4 linked regions of the Diceros bicornis minor genome follow. The protein of the gene in region 1 purifies or fractionates together with the protein of each later gene. This does not show direct contact. Links are inferred from orthologs where the notes say so. Each region holds a gene or a part of one and is shown in the gene's direction. Other genes may lie near its edges.

Evidence for each region.
Region 2: the proteins of ESR2 (region 1) and PRMT5 purify together in Homo sapiens (affinity purification with mass spectrometry; 3 studies listed by BioGRID and IntAct, with this or other methods). This does not show direct contact. The link is inferred for Diceros bicornis minor from reciprocal best matches to the Homo sapiens genes ESR2 and PRMT5.
Region 3: the proteins of ESR2 (region 1) and NUP205 purify together in Homo sapiens (affinity purification with mass spectrometry; 3 studies listed by BioGRID and IntAct, with this or other methods). This does not show direct contact. The link is inferred for Diceros bicornis minor from reciprocal best matches to the Homo sapiens genes ESR2 and NUP205.
Region 4: the proteins of ESR2 (region 1) and SRSF5 purify together in Homo sapiens (affinity purification with mass spectrometry; 3 studies listed by BioGRID and IntAct, with this or other methods). This does not show direct contact. The link is inferred for Diceros bicornis minor from reciprocal best matches to the Homo sapiens genes ESR2 and SRSF5.

The regions. Positions count from the first base shown.
Region 1 is NC_080763.1:13,372,584-13,379,698, reverse strand, and holds the start of ESR2 (estrogen receptor beta), read left to right. Parts: upstream 1-4,115; 5' UTR 4,116-4,432; intron 4,433-7,115.
Region 2 is NC_080744.1:24,804,190-24,811,994, forward strand, and holds the start of PRMT5 (protein arginine N-methyltransferase 5), read left to right. Parts: upstream 1-4,800; 5' UTR 4,801-4,823; coding exon 4,824-4,933; intron 4,934-5,584; coding exon 5,585-5,703; intron 5,704-6,011; coding exon 6,012-6,097; intron 6,098-6,264; coding exon 6,265-6,399; intron 6,400-6,795; coding exon 6,796-6,908; intron 6,909-7,044; coding exon 7,045-7,094; intron 7,095-7,311; coding exon 7,312-7,475; intron 7,476-7,805. UniProt on the Homo sapiens protein: Arginine methyltransferase that can both catalyze the formation of omega-N monomethylarginine (MMA) and symmetrical dimethylarginine (sDMA), with a preference for the formation of MMA.
Region 3 is NC_080742.1:84,080,775-84,088,420, forward strand, and holds the start of NUP205 (nuclear pore complex protein Nup205), read left to right. Parts: upstream 1-4,628; 5' UTR 4,629-4,767; coding exon 4,768-4,795; intron 4,796-7,646. UniProt on the Homo sapiens protein: Plays a role in the nuclear pore complex (NPC) assembly and/or maintenance. May anchor NUP62 and other nucleoporins, but not NUP153 and TPR, to the NPC.
Region 4 is NC_080763.1:18,188,771-18,196,743, forward strand, and holds the start of SRSF5 (serine/arginine-rich splicing factor 5), read left to right. Parts: upstream 1-4,955; 5' UTR 4,956-5,074; intron 5,075-5,080; exon of another isoform or gene 5,081-5,199; intron 5,200-5,819; 5' UTR 5,820-5,872; intron 5,873-5,972; 5' UTR 5,973-5,991; coding exon 5,992-6,117; intron 6,118-6,445; coding exon 6,446-6,516; intron 6,517-6,651; coding exon 6,652-6,750; intron 6,751-7,052; coding exon 7,053-7,122; intron 7,123-7,973. UniProt on the Homo sapiens protein: Plays a role in constitutive splicing and can modulate the selection of alternative splice sites.

The DNA.
Region 1 (7,115 bases):
ACTTGGCAAAATTTCATTCAGCAATATCTGGGCTCTACAGGACAAATATGCCCCAGTTTACACAACAAACAAGAAGAGCATCACAGGGTAACAGCGGAGAAAGCCAGGGATTAGCAGGTAGGTAAACAACATTGGGTTGGCACTTTCACTCTGCACATCCACACGGGTGACCTTACAAAACAAACGTCATCTTTCTGAGCCTCAGTTTCCCCGTCTATAAAGCAGACACAGCCACAGGGAAGTTATGAGGATTAAATGAAAGAAAAATGAACCAACCTGCGCAAGCCTGCCTACTGTGGCGCCTGGGCTGGAAAGATGCATAAATATTAGGTTCATTTTTATTTCCACAAAAGACATGGTCCTAAAGAGCTCTACCCAAATTCCACTTTCAAATATCAAATTCTGTTTTATGAACCCTGGTTTATGAGCAGCTGAGATAACCTCTGACCTATCCCATTAGTAATCCCACCTTTCCAATCCAATGCCATCAAATAAAGGTGTTATTACAGGTGCAACAAGCTTTTCTCTCCTCTTTCATTAATTCCTTAAGTTTAGGGTTTCATCCCTCACATCCCCTTAAAACAGACCGATTTATACCCACATGATATGAAGAATGAGCCCAATCCTGTTATACTCGGGAGCAGGTAAGAGCATCCCAGGACCTGAATCCTCCCACTTGGCCTCAGGCTCAGAAGAGAGAGTAACACTCCAAAGCCATCCTATAGCGTGACACTCTTCTAGTCATTGGTTGGAATCCTCCCTCCCCTCCACTTTTCCACATCAGCTTTTGCTTTCTTGCCTTCTACAGGGTTTTATTTGTTTGTTTTGCCTCTAAGTAGTTTCTTTGCTACAGAAAATCCCTCCCCTTTCCCTCTGATCCTTCCAAGTGGAAGCCTCCAGCAGGTATTTGTTGAATGCCTGGGTTATACTAGGTGGATGCTATGGGTACTAATGCTACCGTGTGGGATGCTGGAGATATAAGATGGGCACTGTACAGTCACAGCACAGGCAGTGTGGACAGGTAGGATGAGCGGTGTGCAGGGAGCAGTGTGCATGTTCTGCTGGGCTGTCGCGGTCTTCACTTTACTCAGGCTCTCGGCTTTGGGATGGGTAAGACTTCACCAGACAGAGAAGGGGCAGGACGAGAGGATGAGGAAGATGCACCCTGATGGAGAGGGCTGCCTTCCTCCTACAGCAAAATGTACCTGTCCTACGCTGGCTTCCTTTGTTTTCCCAGGTGACATTTAGCTCATCTTGCAAGCTCATCTCATTAATGTAATCATAAATGCTACTAAATTCATATGACCCATCATATATAACATGATTGAATTTTAACAATCCAATGCTTTAACCCCAAAGGATGGCTGAATGGTGAGGATTTCAGTCCCTGTTGTAGGGTATTTTGGGAGAGGAAGGCCTTTTGATGTCACACCACGTGGGTGCTTCCTAGGCAGGTCATGAGTGAGGCGGAAATGAGACTGGGACCCTGCTGAGCAGAGGCACAACCCTCAACACTAGATTTCAGGGTGCTTTTTGATCTAGCCGTGGTATTAACTGTCTCAAGAATCTCTTCTTAGTTTTTTTTTTTTTTACTTATTTATTTTTTCCCCCAAAGCCCCAGTACATAGTTGCATGTCATAGCTGCACATGCTTCCAGTTGCTGTATGTGGGACGCGGCCTCAGCATGGCCGGAGAAGCGGCGCGTCGGTGCACTCCCGGGATCCGAACCCGGGACGCCAGCAGCGGAGCGCGCGCACTTAACCGCCAAGCCACGGGGCCGGCCCTCTTCTTAGTTTTGATTATGGTTCAGGGAGAGTTGGAATATTCACCCTCCCCACTCACTGCATTAAACCAGGCGAAGGTTCTATCCCTCAGGTGGCATTATTTTTCTCCAACCACAGGGTGAGTCAGAAGGAAACGTACTCACTCCCATTCATTCTCTTTGCTTAGTATTTCCTGCAAGCAGGTTTCCTTGTGGAACAAACAGCTTCTGTGGGTGTGTGAGGGTCTTTAAAAAGAGAACATGCTGTTCCCATGAGTGGAACGCCTTCTGAAGGAAGCAGCACAGCAAACACGGAGCTCTGGTTCCGGGGCTGAGCAGCAGCTTCTCTCACAGGGGGCAGGAGGCTTAGAGATGGGGCTTGTCTGCAGGAGACACAGTGTCCTGACGTTCAAGCCATCTTCATTTCCGACTGATTGCAGTCATGGTATGGAAGAAAACAGAGTCTTGGGCTCTGGCCTGGGTTCAAGTCCTTCTCAGCCACTGACTGGCCATTTTCTCAACCATAAAGTGGGGATAATTAATCATAGAATTTACCTCATAGTCTTGTGTATAAAATGAGACAACATGCAGAAACTGGAGTGTGGCTAAGTGCCAACAAGTGGTAGCTGTTCACAAGGCCATTTTTGCTGCTGGGTTCCTGTCTTACTATGTGTGGCTTCAGGAGGATGATACGAGTTCTGTGAGCCTCAGTTTCCTCATCTAAAAAGTAGGGTCAATCTTACCTGTGCAAGCACTTAGCTGATTCTCTGGAACGGTGTAGATACTTGATAGACGTCAGTTTTCTTCACCTGCACATCATCTTTGTCTGCCTGTTGGCTCATGACAAATTCCTTCATAATAATTTCCATTCCAGAGGTATCTTGTTAACAAGTAAGTACTACTTGTTATGGGGACTAGGTACTTGGAGAGATACCCAGGAGAGGGAACAGGGAAGCTGAGACTGGCAGAGATAAGCATCTTGTCCTCTACAGTCCTTCACAGCGGTGGATCTGGTCAGCTACACACCCTCTTGTCCAAACTCGCTTCTCTGCCTCATGGATCAGGAAACTGCCTTAACAACTTGAGAGAATCCAGGAGTCTTGGCTTTAATGAAAAATTGGGAGGAGGGGGTAGAGGTTTCTGATAACCATTGTTTATAAAGTTGAGCCTCTCCAGCACCTGTGGACCTCCCTCTTGTAAACCCAGAGAACGCTGGAGTCCCTCCAAGCTATTTTTGGCTAAACCCCAACACCAGAGGCTGGCACTATAAAAGTTTCCCTCCAAATGCCCCTTTGGTCTTCCTCTACCAGAGACCTAGAGTCACAACCACATCAAGAACCATGTCCCTTATGCCATGTGTATGGATAGTTTGATGACGGATTAGGCACAAATGTGGCACAGGGGTCTCACAATTGCCTATGGGACATCTGCTACCTTCCTTTCGATTTTTGCCATCAACGGCTGCTCTAAAGCCCATTGCTTCTTAACGACAGCCATATGGTCCTAATCATCACACTGTGGGCTACTGCGGGGGGCGGGCGGGGGCGGTGATGAGGAGAGCTTGGGGACGCTGCAGAGCCGGGGGAACTGGAACTGCCACTAGGGGGCGCTCCCTGCGGCTTGAGCTCGACCGAGCGCCACCAGGCAAGAGGGGCGCCGCCACCCCGGAGCCGCAGATTTTCCCCCGGGTGCTTCCTGGCAGGAGGTGAGTTTGAGGAGGTTCCTAGGACCTTTGCTCTAACGCGAAAAGGCCCTCCCAGTCAGCCCCTGAGAGCTGAGAACCCACACCCTCCACCTCCAACCTTGGCAGCGTGGCTTTGCGTTTCCAGGGGCACGAGGCTGCGCTGGCTGCTGGGGATTGGGCAAATCCAGATCCTCTCTGGTTTCACCACTCGATTCTTAGAGTCAGACTTGTGTATTTAATGAAGCATCCAGCCCCTCTCAGACCCACGTGGGTCAGGGTCTAGGGATGCGATCCTCGAAGTGTGGTCGCGAGCTCGGCAGCTTCAGTTTCAGCATCACTCCGGACCTGGTCAGAAATGCACATTCTCAGGCACCGCCCTAAACCTAAATCGGAGACGGGGGGCGGGGGAGGGAAGAGATGCCAGCTGTGTTTTGCTACCCCTGAGGTGACTGCGAGGGGCTCGAGGGTGGCAGCCCCTGCCCTGGGGCTTCCGCCTTCGCGCAGGTGAGTGTGGATCGCCAGGCAGGAGTCCAGGTCCTCCGAGATCTCCGTGCCGCTGGCTCGGTGGTCACGTGTGCTCTTGGATTTTTTTTTTTCCCCAGCCCGCCTCCTGGGTCTTTAAAAGGAAGAAGAGGCTCTTCGTTAAGTCGTTTGTGATCTTCGCAGTGTCTCCAGCTGCTGTCCCTGGTGACACCCATTCCCTCGCCCCGGCTGCTAGGACGCTGGCAGGGCTGAGGCTGCGAGAACCGCCTCTGGAAACTTGCAGGGTGGAGAGGACGCGCGGGAACCGGGCAGGAAGGGCCATCCTGGGCTGCGACGGGCATCCCAGTGCTGCGGGCGAAGGCTGGCGATCCGGGTCTGGGCTGCGCGAGGTCCGCGCAGTGTCCGCAGCTGGTGGCCGCGGGCCGGGTGCGGGGAACAGAACTACTCCGGGAAAAGCACATGTGCGCGTTTCAGAGATTGCTAGGCCAGTGTTTACCTGCAAGGTAAGTGCCCCTTTGCTCGAGGTGTGATTTAATTCTCTTGATTTTCTGTTTGAAATCTCCGAGATGATTTTGCTAATATCCATGTCTTTTTAAAAGAAAAAACTCCTCTGGATTTTCTCTGTGGATTTCACGACAATGGGTGAAGTGTGACAGTGGGAAAGTTGGACCAGGCGCTTCAGGCTTGAGTTTTCTGGGCCTGGGAAGATGTATCACAGGCAGGTGACCGGTGTTTTAAAACGTAGTAACTGCCATTCCTAAGTCATATCAAAAAGCAGAATTACTTCTTTCCTGGGCAGACTGAGCAAAATTAAGATCTGGTCTGTTTTATTTGCTGAAGAGAAACACGCCTGCTGCTCTCTTGACCCTTCGTGTTACTTTTCATGCCAATTCATATTGGAAGTATACAATTTAGTGAAGGGAATATTATTTTTGTGAAAAACAAAACTTTGGATTTGAGTGGATTTCTTAGGAAAATAAGGTTGACTCAATTTTACTAGCTTTTTAAAAAGCAACTTTGTGCTTTGGTGTGGTACACAACACTTTGGAGGAAAGCATCTGCCTTATTTTGTTAGATTTCTAGTATTTACATGGGCATTCTGTTAGGAATTTTTACTTTTGTTATAAGTTTCTAAACCCACAGTGGCTATTTTCCTCTGTGTGTGGGGAACTATGTTATTGAAAAAGGGAACATGTGAAAGGAAAGGTTTGTGCTGTGAGTATTGTAAAAAGTAAATGCACTGTGACTATGAAAAAAAATGACTCTTTGACTCATTTTTTCTGTAGAAAATCTATATGTTTCTGCATACGTTTGACAGGAAGGAAAATGTAAGGATCTGTTCATCAATAGGTGTTAAAGCATAAATCTTAGGATTCTATTTTATGTTCAAGCATTTTTTTTCAGTTGAATTAGTGAAACATTCTTGCAGCCAGTCTCCTATAACACTTAAGACCTATAAATCTTCGAAATCAATTAAAAACATATTTAGGACAGATTTCACAGTGGTTCTGAGGGACTCAAATGAATCTAATCACCTTTTACATTTCTCAATTTATTTATAATATGGAATAGGTAAAATTTAGTCAATTCAACTCTTAAAAATATAATTAGCATTTAATAGATATTGATATGTCCATTTTTAAGAATACGACAGTGCAATTTTCTGTGTGTATTCAAAATACATCTTGTAATAGTTTTAGTTCATGTTTTGAGTCATTTTATACAATATCTATAAATAATAAAATATATAAAACACTGAAAGCTGAACTTGAATCATTTACTGGTAGGTTTTTTGATAATTACATTTAGAACCCTTGAGAAATGTATACTTGAATATTAGACTTCATAATTCAGTGCCTAGCACATTGTTCTAGACATAATAGCATTTTTGAAAAGTCAGACTTACTACAGTATAATTTCCATACAGTAAAATCTTGCCTCTTCAGGTGAACCCCTCTATGAATTCCGACAGTTGCACACAGTTTAATAATCACTTCCATCATCAGGACAGAACAGTTCTGTCACTCCCCAAGTCCCCTTTGTGCCTTTGGATTCAACCCTCTCCGTCCACCCCAACCCCTGGAAATCACTGAGCTGTTCACTGATTTTATAGTTTTGCTCCTCAGTATTTTTTTACCTAGAAATAATTATCTTCCTTTGCTCTTCTCAAAAGAAAACCTCGGTTCCTCCTTTTTGATGGAATGAGTCAGGTTGTGGTATTTTTGTTTTAATCCTGTATAATTTGGGGTAAATTAAGGCAAAGAGAAAGCTATTTTGCAAATGGGAAACTAGAGACTGGAATTAAGTGTTAAATTCATATTGGGCTAATAGTTTTAATTCTTAGCAATTTTATATTCCATTCTAGTTTAAGCCTTGGGTTATGATAGGCATCATTAGTTATCCCAAACTGAAATATAAGGTCATTTAAAAATATTCATGTAATATTAATAGAATGTATTGTTCCTTTATAATCTTGGCATTTAAAAAATACTTTTACTATACTTGGGATTAAGAAAGTTTCCTGAAAATTACATATTATCAAATAGTGAGGAGCAAAAGAGTGATTGAAAATTACAATTTGGAGACATTTACAATAAAATATAGAATGATTGTGACTGCTTAAATTAAAATATTCTTCTTAACAGGAGCTAAGTTCTGTGCCCAATTTATTTGTAGATGTCAGGGTTTTTTCATTTCTGTGCTCATGCTTTGGAATCTAGATTTTCTTGCAGAACACAGATGCACAATCTTTTGTAAACTAATGTTCTTTACTGTTTAATACATTGTTCAATTTAGTAAACAGGAGACTGTTATTTTTAGGCACTCCTAATAAAGATATGTCAGATGATGTCTTTTTCCTTTGTGCTGTGAAAAACAAGAACCTATATTTTAAATATGCAACTTACCTTTCAGAGACATGGCAGTTACTAGGCTATGCAGAGTGGCAAGTTTATGAGGCACAAGCAAAGTGCGTAGTTGGCGTTCCTAGCCGGAACTGTTACAGCTCTTCGTAATTAAGGGCTTTTAGCAGGGAATATTTGTGTGGGTGTCCTTGAGTGAGGGTCACTTGGAAAGGCAGACTACTGGACTTGTGTATGTTTCCTCAAAGCAGGACTGCAACCGTTTGTTGGTAAATGTTTTGTGTTCAACTGTCAGACCAAGGACTGGACTGGGAGTTGACTATAT
Region 2 (7,805 bases), on another chromosome or scaffold:
AGGAAGATCAGCCCTGAGCTAACATCTGCCAATCCTCCTCTTTTTTTGCTGAGGAAGACTGGCCCTGGGCTAACATCTGTGCCCATCTTCCTCCACTTTATATGGGACGCTGCCACAGCATGGCTTGCCAACCAGCGAGTTGGTGCGCGCCCAGGATCTGAACCGGCGAACCCCAGGCTGCTGGGGCGGAAGGCATGCATTTAACCGCTTGCGCCACCAGGCTGGCCCCTCATGGATTTTCAATGTATACAATCATATCATCTGCAAACAATGATAAATTTGCCTCTCTCTTTCCAAAAGTTATAACCCCTTTTTAAAAATTTCCAGTCTTATCATATTGGATTTTTCAGAATAATATCAAGTAACACAGTGATGAAACTAGACATTCTTGTTTTATTTTATCTTTACATAAATTGTTAACTTCATATATATACATATACATGTTTATATATGAAGAATATTAAGACTATTAAGAATGTTTACAGAAAACGGAATTGACTTACTGTGTTCTCTTTGGTGACTATTAAATGATCAAGTGTTCTTGGTTTTTTTTTTGGTGAGGAAGATTAGCCCTCAGCTAAGATCTGTTGCCAATCCTCCTCTTTTTGCTGAGAAAGATTGCACTGGGCTAACATCCGTGCCCATCTTCCTCTACTTTATATGTAAGTATGTAGGTCCACGCCCAGGATCCAGGCTGTGAACCCTGGGCCACCAAAGTGGAGCATGTGAACTTAACCACTACGCCACCGGGCTGGCCCCAATTATTTGGTTTATTTTTGATGTATTACATAAATAAATTTCCTAATACCTAACCTTGTGTTAATTGCTGGGATAAACCCTAACTGGTTGTGGTATATAATTATTATGTTAATATACTGCTGAATTTTATGTGTTAACCTTAAATATTTTAGGATTTTTACATTTATATTCATAAGTGAAATTGGTCTATAGTTTTCTTTTGGGGCAGGTGCTATTTCCGACAGGTTTTGATATTAGGTTTATTCTGCCTTCATAAACAAATTGGGTAGTTTTCCATCTTTTTCTATGTTCCAGAACAGTTGCTACTTTCTATTCATTTTGACAGATAAACACTGTATAATAGAGAAGAGAAGGAAGAGAATGCAAATCAGCACAGATTATTTTGCCTCAGTAACTCTGCCACTTTTGTAGCTGGAGGACAGCCTTGATTGTGAAGAAGCAATTTGGAGCAGTAGGAGGGTCAAATGGGCCATAATTCTGGTGTTGAAGAGTGCGGCTGGCTGGTCAGGAACAGAGGTGAGTGAAGGTGGTCCTGGGGAGGGAGGCAAGCGCCGAGGGAGGAGAGGAGCACAAGAGAAGATGAAAGCAGTCTTTACACCGGACTGAGGTGTTCAAACAAGGACATAAAATCAGAATCAGGTAGAAGAACTGGGCCTGAAGGTGAGGAATGCTGGTGGGCTGATGGGAGGAGGATCTGGGAGTGCGTACTCCTGCCCTTCCAGAAAAGTTTCCAATGCTCTGGCCTGTTGGTCACTGGCTCCTGTTGGAGAAAGTAACATTATTTCTCACCCAGGGTATTTGTCCTTCTGTCCTACCATCTCCCTATCTTCATCACAGCAAAGGCCTACATCCAATGTAGGTTGATAACAGTGATTCACATGCTTCTGCGCACAAGAGTTCAGCATGGAGAGGAGAGCAAGGGGAAGCAGAGCGTAAGACAGACTTCACCAACTCCAACTCTACGCCTAGGGCCAAGTCTTTCACAAGGTTCTCTATGTCTTTTTCATTCCTTCCCTTCTGCTTCTCTACAGCTCATACAGGCAGACCCATAGCACACGCTGTTTTTTAAGGCGCAGGAAAGAGTTGTAGGAAAGGCGAGGAGCAATGTGGTGTGGAATTACTGGGAACTGTTCTGCATCACGCTAGCCACACAGCCGGGGCCATTTTGAATGAAAAAACAAAGACATCACAGACAAATGAAATGCAGCCCATCTGGGCCAGCCCCGTGGCTTAGCAGTTGGGTGCGTGCGCTCTGCTGCTGGCAGCCCGGGGCCCGGAACCCCGGGCGCGCACCGACGCACCGCTTCTCTGGCCATGCTGAGGCTGCGTCCCACATACAGCAACTGGAAGAATGTGCAGCTATGACGTACAACTATCTACTGGGTCTTTGGGGGGAAAAAATAAATAAATAAAATCTTAAAAAAAAAAAATGCAGCCCATCTAAACTGACGTTAAGGTCAGCGAGAAATTCTAGGCTCTTTTTACACAAATCCTTTTGAAAATTATTTTAACTGATGGCAAAACTGACATTACTGTTTCATAAATTTTCCTCTCTCTCTCTCACCCCTGGATGGGTTAGTTAACAATCAACAGAGCAGCCACCAGCTTGACATCGGGAGGAAGATGCCAGGAGCACAGATGGTCCACAACCCAGATAATTAACTTCTGAAGAAGAAACAACATCTAATAAGTCTTCTGTGAATGTAGAGTTTGGTTGGGCACAGCTAGGGCAGAGAACAAGCAGGCCCCCTCAACAACTCTTTTTTACCTCTTAAAATGTCGCTGGAGCACTCACCCACTTCCTGGGACAACCACCTACTCAAAAGACCTGCAAGGAAGAATTCCAAACAAATGTTGTAAACACTCCGCCCTAAAGGAGGGGGAGCATAACACATAACACCTCACTCCTTAAGTATGGGATGCACACAGTGACTTCCTTCCAAAAAGTCCAGGATGGAAGGAGTGTAATTTTACAGTGGGGAAACCTGATAAACACCTCTTCTGCCAGGTGATAAAGGTGAACATTGACAGTCATAAATTATGCTGATAGTATGTACTCTTGATAAGGGGTAATGAAAATGGCACTTGACCTCTGTGATCTTCCTCCCCAAAACCCATAACCCCAGTCTAATCATGAGAAAACCATCACACTAATTCCAATAGAGGGGCATCCTACAGTATACCTGACCAGTATTCCTCAAAACTCTCAAGGTCATCAAAAACAAGGAACATCTGAGAAATTGTGACAGCCAAGAGTAACCTAAGGAGCCATGACAATTATATGTAATATGGTATCCTGGATGGGATCTTGGAACAGAAAGAGGACAGGAGGTAAAAACTAAGGAAATGTGAATAAACTACAGACTTTGGTTAATAATAATGTGTCAATATTGGTCCCCGAATTGTAATAAATGTACCATGTAATGGAAGATGTTAACAACAGAGAAAGCTGTGGGATGGCATGTGGGAACTCACTGTACTATCTGCTCAAATTTTCTGTAAATCTAAACTATTCTTAAAAAATAAAGTCTAGCAATAATAATAATAATACCTGCAGGAATCAAATGAAGACTAAGACGGGACAAAAGCACCTCCAAACCCTTTAAGCTTCATAGGCATTTTCTTAGTTCTTTGGCTTTCCGACTTTCATCCTTTTGGGGCACTTACATTACACCCAGGGCTCCTTAGAACTTACCCTCTCCACACCCTTCCCGTGTTTCCCAGGACTCTGTCCCCGACGGGCCGTGGTGATCTCATTCAGTCTCATGGCTTCACTCACCACGGCTCTTCTGGAGATTTCCAAATCTTGTCTGGTTCAGATCACTGTTCATCCAACTCGCTATTACACAGCGCCCCCTAGACGTCCAATTCAGCATTTCCAAACCCAAACCCTGATTCTCCCTAAACCCGCTTCTCTCAGTTATGGTCTCACTTCACCGAGAGGCCAGAACCCTGGGCATCACCCTCAGACTTCTGTTTCTCACGGCTCCCTGCCACTCAGTCCCTAAGTTCTGTCAACGCCTCCTGCTTAGGCCCTTTTGTACTGTGTTCTTTCCATTCCGCTGCCAGGCCCTCAGCACCTCTGGGCTCCCTGCCGTCAGGTATTCCCCTTCTGCTCCCTATGTCTTTCCTTGCTTCATTTCTTTCCTCCTTCTCTGTCCTCTGGCAGTTATTGAAAAAGAAAAATGTAGAGATTCTCTCAGGCCTCCGCCAGGCAGCTCCATGACTCCTCCCCACTATAATCCCTCACAATGAAGTTTTCTCTATCGTCAGATGTGTGTGTGTGCGCGCGCGCTTAGGTGTCTGTTTACCTTTTGTGTTTGAGATATAGAATCACGAGGAATTAGTGGCTGGGTTGCCACAATCTATTTAAAAACATACTAAGAGGACAAAGCTCATTTTAAGAGCATCAGCCATTAACCCAGTTTTCTCAGTGTTCAGATGGACCTAATTAGTGACACAACAACCACCTTTGACTTAGGTAAGGGAAAAAGCTGACATAAGATGGTTGCAGAACTCAATCAAGTTAAGACCAGAAAATGACGAAACTTTAAAGAGTGTAAGGAAAGAAAAGGAGACTTAAAAGACGCTGCTTACGGCCGTATTGCGCGAGACGCAATAAAGTACCAGCCCCACCGAGCCAGCCAGGAGTCGAACCTGGAATCTTCTGATCCGTAGTCAGACGCGTTATCCATTGCGCCACTGGCCCTGAGACAATGGAGTTCTGCCCCATGATGACACTTCAAGCTTATACTGCAGGGTTTCATGGGACGTGTAGTCCCTCAATGGGATTCCACGAATACAGGAAGCATTATGGGAGATTGAAGTTCGTTGAGAACCAGCCCCTGAGATTGGTGGGTCTGCCGGAGCCACGCCGCACGTCGCTCGGCAGCCCGCGGATTGGCGGGAGGAGCCACTCCCCACCCCTCCGCCTCCTGCTCCGCAGCCGTGGAAGACGCTCTGGTTGTTAGGCCGACTCGTCCCGCCTTCTGGGGGCTTTTTTTCGGTTTTGTGATTGGCTGCCAGTAGCGACGAATCCCGGCGTGGACAGCGCGAGGGGAAAGATGGCGGCAATGGCGGTCGGAGCTGCCGGTGGGAGCCGCGTGTCCAGCGGGAGGGACCTCAATTGCGTCCCTGAAATAGCTGACACGTTGGGGGCTGTGGCCAAGCAGGGGTGAGGGCCTGGACCTCCGCAAGCGGAAGGCGGAGTCCGAACTCGGGGAAGGAGAGGGGCAGACAAGTCATCCCCGGGAGGCAGGGGTGAGGGGGTCGGAGTGGATAAGATGAGGGCGGGAGAAATCGTGACTCCTTGGCAGGAGAAGCCTCGGGCCCTGGAGCGTGAGAAAAAAAAAACTTATTGGGGGCAGATGGTCACTGAGGTCAAAAGTTGGGGGAGTTGTCAGGTAAATTCAAAAGGGGCGTTCAGAGCTCCAGGGCCCTGGAGAACGAGATTATCGTCTGAGAATGGGAGTGTTAGGAAGCTAGCGAGAAGAGATGAACCTTGAGGGGGAAGCATGGGCAGTAGTGGGCAGATCTGGATGTGACAGTCCTGGGAAACCAGTGACAGCAGAGTAGAAAATCCACTTGGAGTGGATTTTCATTTTTTCTCCTTACTCTTTCCCATGGCTGTGTTCTGGGGGCACATTGAGGCACAGTGCAGCGGAAGTGATATGCCCCAAGGTGGGCTGAACTCAGCAGTCCGGTCGCGTGGACTGATGGCAGCTGAGAGGGTTGTGGAAGATCGAGGTAGCCTAATCCAGTTGCTTGCATCTCTGGGCACTGCTGCTCTCTTTACATGACGATTCTGGGTCTGTCGCGGTTGTAGGTTTGATTTCCTCTGCATGCCTGTCTTCCACCCGCGTTTCAAGAGGGAGTTCACTCAGGAACCTGCTAAGAATCGGCCGGGCCCCCAGACACGATCAGACCTACTGCTGTCAGGAAGGGGTAGGGACCATCCCATATGCCCCTTAATTAATAGAGGCAGTAACAACTTCTGCTTTATCAGTGCCCTCATTCTCCTTCTTTCCTGACTTGGCTATATTGGTTAGTCCCTGAGATATAGATGACTTGTTCTCTCCTTGCTTACCTTAGAGCCTTAGTTCCCTATTCTGCATCAGGCTGTCCTGTATCTGTGATAGGAAAAGGCTTTGTGTCTCATCTCTACTCTCTATTCCCTGTTAAGAACTAGAAATTGAAGGAGTAAAGTGCTGAACCTCATTCAGTCTTTGTCTTTCTTGGGTGGGGGAGTGCAGACTGGAATACGCTAATTGTGGGAAAGCTTTCTCCATGGATTCATCCAGACTCAAAAGTGGAGAAGATTCGCAGGAACTCAGAGGCGGTAAGACTGTTTGACCTCTCCACTGGATCTTTTTAAAGATCAGGTCTGTAACCAAGCTGGGTGGGGAGAGCAGTTTTTTTACCCCCCATAATTTACTAAATCTGATATACTATTAAACCTATTCGAGTTGCTAGCTCTTAATCTTTTCCTCTTGATCTTCATTCCAGGCCATGTTACAGGAGCTGAATTTTGGGGCATATTTGGGTCTTCCAGCTTTCCTGCTGCCCCTAAATCAGGAAGATAACACAAACCTGGCCAGAGTTTTGACCAACCACATCCACACTGGCCACCACTCCTCCATGGTATGGCTGAGGGCCTCTTTTCCTGTTGCATATTATGGTAGTCAGGCTGTGCTAAGTACTAAGTAAGTAATGGCTTGCTTACTTAGCCATTCAGTAAGGGGTGCATTTAGCAGAATTGAAATGTCAGTACTGCTTGCACCCCCTCTAAAAGTGGTAAGCAGAGAGTTATAAATTATATATATAAGAATATGTAATTATTTCCTGAAACTTACAGTTGGAATAAAGGACAAGGCAGATATTTACATAAGGATATACACAAGATATAATCACAAATTGGGAAAAGCATATAAAGGGACTAACTCGAGATCTGGATCAAGATCTTTTTAATTGAAGGAAGCATTCTGGACCCAATGGGTTCAAAATAGAGTTCTTAATAGGGTACTTGTTCATGTGCAGTTCTGGATGCGGGTACCCTTGGTGGCACCAGAGGACCTGAGAGATGATATAATTGAGAATGCACCCACTACACACACGGAGGAGTATAGTGGAGAGGAGAAGACATGGATGTGGTATGTCTCCTTTTGCTGCTGTACCAGGGCAAAGGGTAGGGTGAGGGGAAGTACCCAGTAGAACCTGTAGGGAGGTCTCCTTGATTGGTGGGCCATATATACTTGACTGTATTTTTCTGTATTTAACTCTGGACAGGTGGCACAACTTCCGGACCTTGTGTGACTATAGTAAGAGGATTGCAGTGGGTAAGTCCACGAGGGTCTTGGGATGGGTATCCCTTCTCTGACCTCTTGTGAATAAGAATCAGGAGTTTCATGTATACTTGGCTGCTGGGCAGTTTTGCTGCTTTCTCTGTGCTTCAGTCTGCCTTGCTCTTAAGGAGTAAACAGATCTTGCACAAAAGAGCAAGGAAAGCCTTCTTGCCTAGCAGTGGTTGATGGGTCTTTCTTTTCCCTTGTGTAGCTCTTGAAATTGGGGCTGACCTCCCGTCTAATCATGTCATCGATCGTTGGCTTGGGGAGCCCATCAAAGCAGCCATTCTCCCCACCAGCATTTTCCTGACCAATAAGAAGGGATTTCCTGTTCTTTCTAAGATGCACCAGAGGCTGATCTTCCGGCTCCTCAAGGTGGGTGGTTATCTTCTAAAGGTGCTCCACCTAATCCTTTTGCCTTATTCACATATGTATGATGCTTTTTTCCTGTGGGGCTGACCCTTCTCCTCTCTGGTGTCTGAAGAGCAATTTCAGCAAAGTTGCGGGTCTTGAGAGCAGAAAGGAAAATGGCAGTAGGAGCCCCAGAAACATTTCAAAAGGAACCAGATCTCATGAAAATTTCGCAGAAGGTTTCATTTAAGAAATTACAGAGAGGATCCTTGAGGTCCTTTGAGCCAGGATGATGCTTTTATGGCACAGGAGGGCTTTATAAGTTCACTGAAGCCTCATGCTGTTTTTGTTGGT
Region 3 (7,646 bases), on another chromosome or scaffold:
GAGCTTTCAGTCCAGAGGGACAGACAGACAAAATTTTGGAAAATTCTAATACAACGTAGGAGAGGACAGGAGGGCATTTAATCCTCCCTGAGATAAGAGGTAAGAGTGGGGTGGGGATTCCTGAGACAAATAAGCAGAGGAAGAGGCTACAGGTATTCCAGAAAGAGAAGAGAGTGCCAACAAAGATTCAGAGGGAAGGAAGATGTAGCCAGAGGGACTATCCCATGAAGAAGGGGGTGGCACTGGTAAAGGGTCTTGGGGAGCTGGAGGGTCTAAGAATGTGTGTCTAGGTCGCTGCAGTAGTTACTAAAGAAGAGTCTAGATGTGAGATCAAATTTAAGAGGCCTGAAGGAGCCGGATCATGAACAGCCTTGTGTGCCATTCTAAGAAGTGTGGACTTCCCCTCAGGATAGTGACAAGAACCAGAAGGGTTTTAGGGAGAGGACTAAGTGATCCCTCTGGTTACAGTGCAGATGGTGAACTGGAAATGAGCGAGACTGGAGACAGGAAGACCAGTTAGGAGGCTGTTGGAATAATCCAGTCTGTGAAGGTGCATTGTGGTTGTGGGTCTCTAGGGGAAAATCTAGGGCGAATTTATTTCCAACTCCACCAGATACTGCCAGTATTCCAAGACCAGTGGTTCTGCAACTGCAAACCCATAGCTGGCCACTGACTGGGGTCAACACAAGTTGGTGAACCTGTCATGCCTGGGGTCTTCCACTGGCCAGGATGTGGAAAATCACAGAACTTGAAACTCATCTAAATTTCTAAGCCTTGTCCAGAGGAGTTGCTGCAGCTCTCTAAATCCGAAACCTTGGATTTTCTCACTTTTTTCACTGATCTGTTCGTCTATGCCCCACCCCCATACACTTTTAAGACCATGTAAATTCCTATCATCTGTCCATTCAAGTGCCACTGCCTTCATATAATTTTCCCTAATTTTCATTTCCCAAACTCCAAATAAGAATTAACTGTCCTTATTTTAATATCTCAAAGAACTTTGTGTAGACAGTTAAAACTCAATTAATTGGGGCAATGAAGGAAGTTACAATAATGGATCAATTAGACTAGGGTGCAGTCCAACCCCTTACCCCAGGTAAATCACACATTGTTTCATTGCTGAATGCTTCTACTTGCAGTGCACTCAACAGCTTGGTTGAACTCGTCCTTAGTAATCAACTGTACCTCCATTTAGCACTTATTTTGCCTTAGAAATAGTTTATTTTTATTAACAAACACTCATATAGCACTACGTGTCTGGCACATTCTAAGCACTTTACAAATAAGCCTCTTAACAACTCTACAATATAGGTACTAATATTATCATCTCCATTTAGAGATGAGAAAACTGAGCCATTGAGGAGGGTTTCACACCTAATAAGTGATGGAAACAGAATTTGAACCCAGGAAGCCTGGCTCAAGGGTGTGTGCTCTTAACCACAATTGTATGTGGCCTCTCTCTCTTCCAGTAGATCGTGGAAGCACCAAGCTCTGCAAACTGTTTTTTCTGAATTGTAACTGCAAGCCAGAGATGTGGCAGGAGCAGGGAATACAAATATAAAGGCATAGTTGTTGCTCTACAGGACTAAATTATTTGTTTATTGAACATAACAAACCACAAAACTATGGCTACAAACAATAGCCATTTACTTGCTCACAATTCTGCAAACAGGGCTAGACTCACCCATTTGCAGTCAGCTGATGGTTCAGTTAGGACTGAAGGATCCAAGATGGCCTTACTCATGTCTGGCATCTTAGCTGGGAGAGCTGGAACAGCTGGAAGCTGGTTAGGCTTCTCCCGTGGTCTCTCATCCTAAAAGATGCTAGCTCGAGTTTCCTTAAATGGTGTTTCAGGGCAGCAAAAGAGCAAGAGAGGAAGCAGCAAGGGCAAATTCTAGGCTTGGAACTCACCCAATGTCACTTCTGCTGCATTTTTTTTGGCCCAAGCAAGTCATAAGGCCCACTCAGATTCAAGATGGCAGATGGTTATACAATGGCCTGAATTCAGGGATGTGTGATTCATTAGGGGCTTTTTAATAACAATCTACCACAAGAAGCTAGTAGTTTTAGTGGGGGATGATTGTCATAGAACATAGGGCTATAATAGAGATGGGTTACAGTGCGATAGGGATGTAGGGAAAGAAACCTCTGAATTGGTTGAGGGAATCAAGGATAGCATCAGGCAAGCAGCATTAACACAGACCCTCAGACTTGGAAGACAGGTTGTGTTTGGGAGGTTAACGTGGTGGGTGGTCCACAGAGGGATGGGGAAGGGAAGGAAGGGCATTCTAGGCAGGTAGAACAGCAGGTGCAAAGGCATCAATATGTGGTACAAGAAAGCGTCGTGTACTTGGGGAATAATAAATAGTTCAGAATGGTTAGAGTAAAGGGCACTTGAGGAAGACCGAGGGTGAGGAGGTTGAAGAAGGCTGAACCAGATCAGGAAGTGGCACGTGTGCCTTGCTAAAAAGTTTTCAAATATTGCCTTTGGGGAGTAGGTCATTGAGAAATTTTGATCAAGGCAAGCACATGATCTGATTTGTGTATTTGAAAATCACTTTGGGAGTCCATGAAAGGGGGATGAGATGGAAATCAGGAAGACTGGTGAGAAGGTGATTGCAAAATGCCAAGTATAAAAAGATAAGACCTGAAGAGAACAATGGCATAGGGAGCAGAGAAGAGAAAAAGGGTTCCAGAAATATTTATGAGTTAGAATGAATAGGATTTGGCAATCGAAGGAAGAATATAGAATGACTCCCAGGTTTCTAACTTTGGCAACCCAGTGGATATAGGTGGCAGAGTTTCAAGACGAAAATGCTCTTTTAAGTTTTGTACTAATTGACTGATTTTGAGCTGCCTGTGTGACAATCAACAGAGATGTGGGGTAGACAAGTTGGATATACAAATCTGAAGCCCAGGAGAGAGGACCAGACTGGAGATACAAATATAGAATTCATCAGCAAACAGGTGGTAGTAAGAAGCCATAGATTTCCCAGAAGCAAATAGAATAAAAAGAACAGAGGCTGGGGATGACTGAAAGAGCTACATTTAGTGATGAGAAGAGGAAGAAAAGTCCATGTAGGAAACTTAAAAAGAAGAATTAGAAAGATTGGAGGAAAACCAGGAGGCGTGGTGCCCCAGAAGTCAAGCGAGAAAAGAGTTTAAAGAAATTCAGGAAAGTGCTTATGGGATTTGACAGTTGATCATTGGTGACCATACTGAGAGCAGTTTTGGAGGAGTTATGATGCCAATACTCTGACTGCTTTGAATTGAGGAAACCTGTGAGAGATTGCTTGTAAGTGTGATGATGGGTGAGGGGGAGTTGCAGGAAGTTAAAGAGTTCCTTCATAGAAAGCGAAGTGATCTACCAAGAGGGAAGTGTGTGGGCTTGAAGAGTGTTGAGGGGCAGGGAGGAGGCTTGTAATAGTTGTGCTAAGAAAGAAAATCTTCTTTGAATGCCACTTCCTGCCAAGTTTCTGCTCTATATTCTTCTCACTTTCATGCTAAACTTTGGGGAAACTCATTTTTCCCCTTCACTCCTTAAAAGTGCTTTCATCGTAGTCTGGCATTTGTCTCTATATAACAATGACTTGCAAAAAAAATCAGTGACTTTTGTTTCACCTAATGTACATTGTGTCACTCAATATTATTTGTTCAAAAGAAGGAATATGCTTGATATTCTTAACAACATGCTCTGGGATTTTAGCTAAATTATTTAATTCTGATGTCCAATAGTGAAATGAGAATATAAGCTAGCTCTGTTTCCTCCCAACCTCAATGGAATGTTGGAGGAGTTGATGAAGTGAGATTGTAAGGCACATTGACCATCTCTGAGATAAGTAGCTATAATTATATATTACATATATATAATTATAATATAGCTATAGTAGCTATAATCTTCCTAATAGGATTGTCTCAGGGATTAAATAAGATAACGTAAAATAATGTAAAATTCTTAGTAAATATCTGACATATAATAGTAAATGGTAATGACTATTTGTATTTTAGTTTGAAATTTAGCAAACCAATATTTAGCGAGTGAAAAAAGAAGGTCCAGCTGTTTGGGGGGCACTTAGGTAGAAAAATATTTGGTGTTTATGAAATGATATATCTGGGAATTTCTTCAAAATAATCTCCTGTGTTGGAAGTGGGGGACAGGAATTATTCTAATTTTGCATTCATGTGAAAATTTCATAATAAAAAGTTATGATTTGTTTCACTCTATGCAACTCTATGTTAACGCAAAACACTTGGTATATTTAAATGTAATGAAAACTTTGTAACCGATCAAATGGCTTTTTGAGGTGTAAGCCCCCCTCACCCTACTCCACTCCCCAAAGTAAAAGAGTAATGCAAGGAAGATTTAATTTCAAATGGAGATAATGATTTGATCTTACGGCTTTTATAATATCATAAATGGGCGTCATTTCAATAACTAGTCTCAGAATATCTTTTCCACCTAACCAACTTCATTCATCATTAGAAAGAAACTACAAGTTCCAGGATGCACTGCACAATTAACGTCAAATCGAGGACCTCGCCTCTCCGAACTGGTTGTCCTCGCCTTATTTGAATGGGAATAATCCCGGAGAAAACTGACGTGTGTGACCTAGAGCAGACTTTCGAGTCTTTGTACGGCGAGGTCGGCCGAGCGTGCCGTTCGGAGGGGACAGCATGGTACCTTTCTGTTCAGGCGTCGCTCCGGGCAGCCTCACCCTTTTCTGGGGCCTCCGTGCGGCAGGAGGACTCCGTTAGTGCGCCTCCAAGATGGCGACGCTGTTGGCGGTAAATTCGGGTAAGTGCGGCCGGGGCAGAAGGGAAACTCTGGGGCCGAGCGATGATCAGTTCTTCAGTGAGAGACCAGGCTGTCAGGTTGCTCGGAGTCCAGGCCCCCACTTGTGCTTGGTCCCGCTTTTCCCGAGCTCTGGGCCTCGAGTCCCGCCCCTCCCCAGTTTGAATGGCGCGCGTCGGCGCTGCGGCTCTAGTCCTCGAGTTGGCTTTGAGGGTCCAAGCAAGGAGGCTTGGTCCATTGCAACCGGGCAGTCTCTCGCAGGCCAGCGCTGAGCCTGGTCCCTTCCACTCCTCGTGATGTGTTTGTGGCCTGGATTTCGCCTGAATATGCAAGACTCCGGCAGTAAGGCCGGAGGACCCCATGTATTTTCAGCCACGAGCGCAGGCTGAAAACTCGCACCTCAAAGCAAGCACCGGGGCCCCTCATGGAGATTGGGGGGTCCTGCAGGAAGCGAGGATTATGAAGCCCGCAATCCGGAAGGGGCCCGGGAAGGAGGTGCCATGGGTACAGCAAATGACTCCGACCTCTGCGGGTGTGGCCCGTCTCTGGATGCTCCTGGACCTTTGGAACAGTAGATCTTCGCGGCGGAGTAGAATCTAGAATGTAGTAAAGGAACTTGGAAGATTTGGGATGGGTCCTCTTTTGGTAATTCTCAATTTGGGTTGGCACCGCCCCCCAGGGGCGTTTTAAGAGTGGGTGCATTTTGATTGTCACAATTCCTAGGATCCGCTGCTGGCGCCTCGTGGGCGGGGCAAGGATGCCAAAAGCCCTTCCTGGGGCGGAGCGGTCCTGAAAACGAATAATTTCCTGCTCAGAATGTCAGTGCCTGCATTGAAACGCACATAGCTTCATGGGCCACTTAAGAGTATGTCTGTATGGTAAATGCTTGTAGAGAATTTCATTCAAGAGGAGTCTTTCCTGGACACCTTTTCTTTCTGTCTCTAATTGTGCAGTCTTTTTTTTTCCCCCTTGGTTCTGGTTTGTTATACTTTGCACAGGACTGATATTCTTGAAAAGTTGTCTAAATCTGAATTTTGCAAATCAAACCATTTTAGAAATACTATGATAAATTATTTTATAATGATGGATTATGTTTATTGAACACCTGCTGTGTCCCAGACGCTGGACTAAGTGTTGTACATATACCTGTGTGATAGCTGCTGTTAAATACCTCATTTTACAGATTTGGAAATAGAAGCTTAGAGTGTTTAAGTAACTTCCCCAAGGTTATACAGCTAGATTCTAAGCCAGTGTTAGGTGCTTAAACTACTACATGCTACTACTTAAGCACAACCTAATTCATTTTATTACATCAAAAATTCATATATCTGAATGTTAGTAATGAAGTTACTTCCTTCATATTGCTGTCTTGCCTTTCCACCCAGATATAAACTTAAAAGCAAGGCTTGCATGTTATATGTGTGGTTATGTATGTTTCTTTAGTAATACTCCTACCAGTTACCATAATTAAACATAAATGGTTGAAGGAAAAAGGAAAAGGAGTTGCCAGCAGCTGCAAAGAGTATACATTGTATAATAAGGCCTTGTGGCAGGAGTGTTTAATTGGCATCAGAAAAGAAACGTTTTTAAAAGCTCAGTCAGGAGAATATTTTTTTTAAAAAGTTAAACATTTTAGAGAAGCAGCCCAAATGTCCATAGAAGGATGAATGGATAAACAAAATGTAGTATATACATACAATGGAGTCTTATTTAGCCTTAAAAAGGAAATTCTGACACATGCCACAAGATGGATGAACCTTGAGGACATTCTGCTAAATGAAGTAAGCTAGTCACAAAAAGACAAATACTGTGTGGGGCTGGCCCAGTGGCATAGTGGTTAGGTTTGTGCGCTCCGCTTTGGTGGCCCTGGGGTTCACGGGTTCGGATCCCAGGCGGGGACCTATGCACCGCTCATCAAGCCATGCTGTGGTGGCGTCCCACATACAAAATAGAAGAAGATGGGCACAAATGTTAGCTCAGGGCCAATCTTCCTCAGCAAAAAGAGGAAGATTGACAATGGATGTTAGCTCATGGCCAATCTTCCTCACCAAAAAAAAAAGACAAATACTGTGTGATTCCACTTATGTGAGGTGTAGAAAGTCTTCAAACTCAGAAACAAAGAATGTTGGTTCCAGGGGCTGCGGGGAGGGGGAGTTGTTGTTTAAGGGGTACAAAGATTCATTTTTGCAAGATGAAAAAGTTCTGGAGATCTATAGTACAACAATGTGAATGCACTTAACACTACTGAACTACACACTTAAAGTTGTTTAAGATGGCAAATTCTGTTATGTGTTTTTTTCCACAATTCAAAAAAAAATTAATCATCTTAGAGTTGTAGAAGGGGGCAAAAATAGAGATTGTAGAGTTCTAAGACCTATGCTTGAGTTTCAGCTGCATGATTTACTAGTGATGTGACTGTCCCAGCTGAGTAGCCATACAGGCTTGTTGTTAGTAAGCCACCATTAACTCTGCTTGACACCCCTTCTGTGGCAGTGTGGTCACCCTTGTCCCGTTCACATCAGTGACTATTTCAAACCTTTTCCACACTCCTCAAATCTTTGTCCTCCAACTGACCCCTCATTTTCCTCGTCACAGAGGAGATAGATGCAAATGGGCATGAGCTCTTTCTTTTTTCACACTCAAACCTACAAACCTAGATCTGTCTGCACCCTTTTGAATCAGTTTCCTTGTGGCTCTCTATCAAAGGTAAATCCCACCCTTTATGCCCTTCTGCCTATTATCCTTTCTCTCTCTTGTATATTCACCTCTCTTTCTTGCTCCTTTTCTTTCCACTAACCTCCCGTCTTTATCTTGATCTCCTGCCTCACTCTGTCTTCTTGCTCCTCTTCACAGT
Region 4 (7,973 bases), about 4.8 Mb from region 1:
GTTTTTGATACTTTGTGATGACAGCCCAAGGAAACTAACACACCATGGTATGTCATTGTCGCTTGAGAAGAGCTGAAAGCACAGAATGGCTGCTGAGATAATGAACCTAACAATACAGGGCTGATTAGAGGTTGCCAACTATAGTTGGGACCCACCTGATTAGGTTCCAGTTAAATACTCAGATTCCTGAGCCTCCGATTCCTGACTCAGGCTCTCTGCTAAAATGGCACTGGGAATCCGCATTTGAAATAGTGCCCAAATGATTCTTTGAGTTAGAGGATAATAGAGAGTAGACGTAAAAGTGGGACAGAAACAGCAGCTAAAGCTAGAATTTAAGCTGAGTATGAATTCATAGCACAACCTGACATAAATAAGTGCTATGTTGCGGACCTATAAAGAATTTCTAAGTTTTGGCAACAAATTCTGAATTGATATTACCTTCTATCCCTGCCTATGAAAATATTCTCAGGAGCCCTTACGATGAGCTTCTTTGCTGCTTCTCTCTACAGATACTGTTTCTCCCTCAGTTCAGGCCGCATCAGAGATCCTCTGCCTAATCTAAGTTCTTTTGTTGTTTTTTTCGTGAGGAGATCAGCCCTGAGCTAACATCCATGATAATCCTCTTCTTTTTCTGCTGAGGAAGACCGGCCCTGAGCTAACATCTATTGCCAATCCTCCTCCTTTTTTTTCCCCCCTTTTTCTCCCCAAAGCTCCAGTAGATAGTTGTATGTCATGGTTGCACATCCTACTAGTTGCTGTATGTGGGACGCTGCCTCAGCATGGCCGGACAAGTGGTCCGACGGTGCGCACCCGGGATCCGAACCTGGGCCTCCAGTGGCAGAGCGCGCGCACTTAACCGCTAAGCCACGGGGCCGACCCCCTCTTCTAAGCTCTATTTCACTCCAACCTTCCCAGGCCTTGGTGGTCAGGACTCTGCAAATTCAGTAGAAGTGCTTCCCACTTCTGGGATTTCGCTGGCCACTCTAGTGCACAGACAGGTATCACGGGAAGGTCATGCTGCAGCTTTGTGAAAGGGCATTGATCGGAAAATCAGAAAGTGGATGTTCTGGGCAGACCAGATCGTTAGATTCTCTAAGCCTAAATTTCCTCATTTAAAAAATGTTATAATAACACCTACATGGAAGGGCTGGCATGAGGATTGACTGAGATAGTGTGTGTAATGTCCTTAACACAGCTCAGGAAACAGCAGCTGTCAGTATAAAGGGGGAGGGTAGGGACGATGTGCTTAGGCGCCCTGAATTTAAGTTTCTCTTGATGTTAGAATGGTTTGTGTCCCAAACCTGCTTCCCCATGACTGTCCCAGTCCGGGCTCCAGCCATAACCTGAGTGAGATGTGAGTCCTTGGGGGAGGGAAGATGGAGCCAGATGACAGATGGAGTTCATGGAGGACAGAACAGTGAGTTCCTAGATCCAGGTCAACACGCCTCTGATCCTCCCAGCTGAGTATTAGAATCACCTGCAGCCCTTACTAACAAATAGGGCTCCACCCCACACCAGTGAAATCAGAATGTCTGCCAGCAGGGACCCAGCAGCAGAATGTTACAGACACTTCCGGGTGATTTCAGAGCACAGCTGTGTTGAGAAAAACTGATCCAGGCACTCAAATTAAAGAAGTGGGTCCACAGGCACTTTAATTACTGTGCACGACTAAAGGACAACAACAAAACACCAGGATGTTGGAATAGAGAGAAGTCAGAGAGGTATGTAGGGGTGAATCTGAACAAAAACCGAACATTTTTAAAAACCATCAATTTTCAAGAGTGATTCCTTAAGGGTACTCTTTCAAAAAAATCTTTAGAGTTATTAGCTAGAAGCGAGGGAGCAACACTTTTTCTTAGTGTTGGGAGTTTCGGATATGAATTTTTAAGCATCTGGTGATATTTCGGACTGTTTCAGAAAAACAAAATTGCTGGTAAGAATGAATATTGTCCCCAGGCATGTAGTTGTGTCATGTTAAGTGGAAAAATAAATATAAATCTGGATATACACTTTTGATCATAAATACATTAAAACAAAGAAACATGGAAAAATACCCATGATTAAGTTTTATGAATAAAAAACCCTCATAATGCCAAATTCTATAAATGAGGATGATTCATATTTTGAAAATGCAATTGTGCTTACAGGAAAACACTAAAGGGAAATATAAAAAGCCAAATAGTTATCCTCCAGGGTTAGGGATAAGGATGGCCTTTTAAATTCTCATATCTATATTTTTTAAAATGATGATGTATTACTTTTGAATTGGAAAACATATATTAAACTCTCAGGGGTAAAAACATGAGAACGAAATACAGCAAAATATAATCAGAGGTTGATTTGGTGAGATGGATCATGAGTGTTCTCCTCTTTCAATTATTGTTCCTGTTGAACATTTTTGGAATAACGAGCATATATTTCTTATTATAATTGGAATAAAATAAACTATTTAAAAATCAAGATCAAATCCTTGTCTTCTTCTTTGATTTTATTATCTGACAAAGGGAGTTGGGTGGAGCATTCCCAGAGCAGTTTAAAGTTTAGGAATCAGCTCAGGGGTCATGAAAATGGCCAGATGGTAGATAGTTTAGGTATTGTGGTCCACACGGTCCCTATCATAACTATTCAGCCCCGCTTTTGTAGCAGGACAACCGAGGTAGACAATAAGTAAATGATCAGGAGTGGCTGTGTTCCAAAAAAACTTAATGGATACTGAGCTTTGAATTTCATATGATTTTCATACGCCGTGAAATATTACTCTTCTTTTGATTCCCCTCCCGCACCTATTAAAAACGTGAAACCATCCTCAGGCCCTACAAAAACAGGTGGCAGGCTGGATTAAGTCCACAGGCTGTAATTTGCTGACCCCTGAGTTAGATGAAATTAGGAACGTGATGAATGAAACATCCCACAGTTATGCCGAGAGTCCCCAACAGACATGGCCAATCAACTTTGTGTTTATTTTAATCCGTGATTTCTCTGCATTTTTCCTTTACTAAAGATTTGCTATTCAGATGTCTTAGGAAAAGGATGCCAAGCCATTTTGTTGAAACATTAATATAGGAACAGTACAACCCACCCCCCCAAATGCTAATGCAAATCCAGGTCTACAAATATTGAGTCTTTTCTGCTAGGCATTTCTGGGAAACAAAAACATGAATAACACATGTATATTACAAGTGAGTGATGAAGGAATTATACACAGAATATGTAGGATCACACAGGAGGGAGAGTAATTCTGCTCATGGAAGATGACTTTGTGTTTATTGGAGAAATTGGTAAGAATCCGGAAGGGAGATTTACTAGGCAGTTGTCATAGAAAAAACAAACATTGCAGAAGACAAGTGGTTTAAAACACAGACTAAGTCAAGGAACTACTAATGAAAAATTACCTTTGTGGAAATGACAGACTTAACAGTAAATAAATCAAGAGGAAAAGCTTTATAAAAAAATTAGTCCTGAAGAAAACCACACCACCACGGGCTGAAGACAGCAGCTTTTTCCATGGCATACAGCACCCTCATTCTTGTTTCTCACGCCCAGAAAACCTTTTCCAGATTACTTTCTCTTATTGCAGCAAAAATAACATTTAGTGAGTGTAACCACAAGCAGTTGCTTCATAGTCGACGCAAAATGTAGAAACTAACTGGAAGACCTATTTTTTTAATTATGCAAAAAGCTAACAAATGTAATTAAATAAGTACTGGTGCTTGGGACAATATGTGTATTATAAATTGCCAATGTTGATCAGGCTGGCAGCTAAAGATAAGTGTTTTCTTTTAATTTAGCTAATACATATTTTCTTTTAAATCCATCTTTCATTCCCTCACCATAAGGAGCTAAAGTTCACAAGTACACAGCGTGCTGTGTACACGCTGAAGCACTTTTTAATCATTAAAATGTATGAATGGACGAGCTCAGCCATACAAACCATCCAAGTTCTAGTCCAGAGTTCCTACCGGCCCCAGATAAGAGTAAGGTCCGGAAGTCCTGCTCTTTGTAGAACTACTTTATCACCGTGTAACTCCAGTGGCAAGCAGCAACCCTAGATTCCCGGCACCTCTCAAAAATGGAATGCCTTGGGTTCCACCTAAAAACACTCAAGAAAAGTCACCTTTTCACTATCGGTCTCTTTATGCCTAAATTTCTAAGCCTGCCAGCATTACTGGGAAAACGCGGAGGTAAGGAGGGGGAGGACTATGTTTCATACCCACTTTGAAAACACAGAGTTTCTGGAGAATGGTAGACTTCCACGTGTTACAGAAACCCGAACAGGGAGGGTTAACCAAACACCACTTGAACTTAAAAGTAGCTTGAAACTTCCTCCAGCCAGCGCAGTCCTAGAGTAGCGGAAATGCAGAAATCTGCGTCCTGGCCTCAGTTTAAGATGGCCTTCCAGCTGCAGTTCCAATTTCAATATTTCACCACGCAAAAACCTTCCATTTAAAAAATACTGCGGTCCCTTAGTCTTCTTACCATAACTAAACCACACGTCCGTGGTAGGGCTAAAATAGTCACTTGAGCATCAAGGAGCGCCCTCCAAAGCGCAACCTTAAATTGCAAGCAGCAAGGGGTCAGAGACGGCCAGATATTTTTGCAAAGCCTGAGTTTCTTTTACCAGTACACCTCGGAGTATCTCGAAAAAAATTTAGATGGAAAAGGGGTGTCATCTGTCTTAGGGTGATTTTGTGCGAGACAGAACGACGAAGCCAACCTCACGGCCTAGGAGAGGCGAACGTCTTCAACAGCTGTACCCTCAGCGCCGGCCACCTGGTGGCCGCGCCCACGCCCCGCCCCCGGCCCCGCCCCTCGCGGTGAGGGTGGCTCGGCGGTCACCGTCCAGAGTCCCGGGCCCCGCGGGAACTTTGTCCCCGGCTCCGGGGGGGAGGTCCAGGGGCGGTTCCGGAAGTGACGCAGGGGCGCGCCCTCCATTTTGTGGAACGCCCGAGCAGCTAAGTGCGTCAGTTGTGGGGAGACGTAGACGAGTTGGGTCCTGGTCTGCGGGGAGGCAGACGGCTCCGTCGCAGACTACGGACCTCTCTGGGTCTCTGCTGCCAAAGATCCTGTCCGGTAGGTGAGTGGTTCACTTTGAGGGCAAGGCTTCTCGGATCGAGGCTTCTTCATGGCCGCTCGGATGGCGAGTGGCCGGGGCTGCTCTCTTTGCGGAGGACGGCGTCCAATGAGCGCAGTTTACTCGAGGTGGGCGCTGGGGCACGTCTCCCTTGGGGTCTTGTTTGAGGGGAAGCTAAGGTGGAAGGGCGGTCGTGGTTATGGTCATTTTCACACCGAGGGGTTGGATGCCCCTCCCTGCCTCTCTACCTCATCACTGTCCGAACCCCCCCGAGTGGCGGGCCGAGATCTTTGCTCGGGGTGTGGCTAGGGCTTTCCGCGGGTGGGCACACGGACTCCGGAACCGTGGAGTCGGGGGAGGGGGAGGGAGAAGGGAGCTCGGTACGCGCGGCTCTCCCCACCGCTGGCTACGCCGCCGCCATTTTGTGGCTGCCCGGCGTCCGCCCGCTGCCGTCTGCGCAGGCGCGGCCGTGGCGTCGCGAGATTCCGGCTTTCCCCCGCTGTGACGCTCCCGGGAGGCGGCGACGCGCGCGCGGCCCGTCGCCATTGGGCTGGCCTGGCGGAGGGCGGGGCCGGCTCCGCCCGCACTTCTCGGCCTTTCCTAACTGCGGCAGATGGGAGGGGGCCAGAAGAGCCGGGGAGAGTGTGCGGCTGCGCAGTTCCGGAGGCGGCAGTGGGCGTTGCGGTTGCTGCGGTCTGGGCCCAGGGAAGGATCGTGTTGGGAGCCGAGTTTTAATTTTGTCTGCAAGGGACCTGGCCTAATAAGAGGCGCTCTTGGCAATCTTGTTTGTAACATCACCGGGTAAACATTTTATTTTATGCTGTTTATGTCTTTGACCCCCTTGACCAGGGATTCCTCGGATGTTCACTGGTATTATCTCAATTGAATTATTTTCGAACAGGACCTCCTAGCCGGACGTCATGAGTGGCTGTCGGGTGTTCATCGGGAGGCTAAATCCAGCGGCCAGGGAGAAGGACGTGGAACGATTCTTCAAGGGGTATGGACGGATAAGAGACATTGATCTGAAAAGAGGCTTTGGTTTTGTGGTAAGTGTTCAGATTGGCCGGATTATCTATTGTGGAATAGGTTAAGATTTTGATAAGCAGTGTTTTGGATCTTACTGGGTCCAGGTGGAGTAGCTTTAGAAAACGTTGTGAATCCTTAAGGTGGTGAAGTTTCCAAGGGGATGAAAGAACTTCACTGCTGGCTGGAGGGAAACCGCTGCTGGTCTCTTCTCCATCAGGCTTATCTATATGGCACTGTCATTAAGAGATGCTCCCATTGTGTCACATGTCTTTAGCTCTCTTATTATGTTGTAGAATACACTTTTATAGCCATGTTAACGCATTGTGTTTTTTTCATGCTTCTATTTAGGAATTTGAGGATCCCAGGGACGCGGATGATGCTGTGTATGAACTTGATGGAAAAGAACTTTGCAGTGAAAGGTGAGAGTCTTATTTTTAGTTTTATAACTAGTTAGCGCTGTGAAATAGAGCAGACTGGGTCAGCGGGGGTGTTTTCTTAAGTAGATCACTTATATAGCTTAGTGGATAATGAAGATTTTTCATTCCTTCCTGTAGGGTTACTATTGAACATGCTAGGGCTCGATCTCGAGGTGGAAGAGGTAGAGGACGCTACTCTGACCGTTTTAGTAGTCGAAGGCCTCGAAATGATAGACGGTATGTGGTGGATCATGGATGGCTGCTTTGAATGATCATTGCTGCAGAAGATGTATTTAATGTTCAAGAACCATTAGTAATAGGTGATTCTGGCATTTACTGTGTAATCGGTTTGGTTATTCCTGTGGTAGTCCACTGTTGAAAGTCTGTATAATGATTCATATAAAAACAATGTAGGAACTGTTGATGGAAGCCATTTGAATGACTTGTCATATCTGATTGCTTGAACTTGCCCACAGTTGAACACAATAAGTGCACCTCACTGCATTTCTTCCATTGTGAGTACTCATTTTCTTCCTCAGAAATGCTCCACCTGTAAGAACAGAAAATCGCCTTATAGTTGAGAATTTATCTTCAAGAGTCAGCTGGCAGGTTTGTTGAAATACAGTTTTGAGTTATTTTAATGTGGCTTTTTAAAAGTTAATGGGTAGCTAATTTTTATTAATATGTTTTGTTAAAAGTAGTTTTAAATTTAATTAAATTAATGGATTTAATTGTAATTTTAAAATTTTAATTAAACGTAACTGGGGGATATTTCAAATTTTAATATTAGTGATCAAATGTAAATGTTTTGAGGATATTTTTTCTTGTTTCTTAAAATCAATTTTAACCAAATATTAAACCCTTTATTTGCCAGCCTATCTGTGTCGTTGGCCTTATGACGAGGAGTGCCTGTGGGTTATCCTAATCGTTGTCTTGGTCACTCTTGGTTGGGCCTGGTTGACTTTGCCAGTCAGCTCCTACAGTGATCAATTGGCCACCTCTAGATCTGTGTTTGCCGGTCTAGACGTAATCGGTGCACTTACTTGAAGTGCCAGGTTGCAGCGATCCCAGAGCGTTGATAACGTGATCTGATTCCTAAGTTGAGAGCTGTCTTCTGTAACGCTTCCGAATAAGAGGTCCTGGTCGAAAAGAGTTGAAAGATACGAAATTAGGTGGTCGTTGGAATCCTGATCGCAGTAAAGTGGTCCTTGGTAACTGCACGAGAGTAGAACATGTCTGCATCGCCAGTAGTCTGCTTATAGGGAGGGCTGTGCGATTAAAGGCTTCCATCGATTGGGTAGTGTCCTTCAAGTGGGTGGCGAAGAGCCAGTCGGGCATATGTCATGAAGGTTTCTCCGACCGATTATTGGTTTGCTGCTTGACTAGCCTAGGGATATAATAATAAAGGTAAAGTAAACTTTTTTAATGACATATGGGGCACAAAATAACTGATGTCTTGT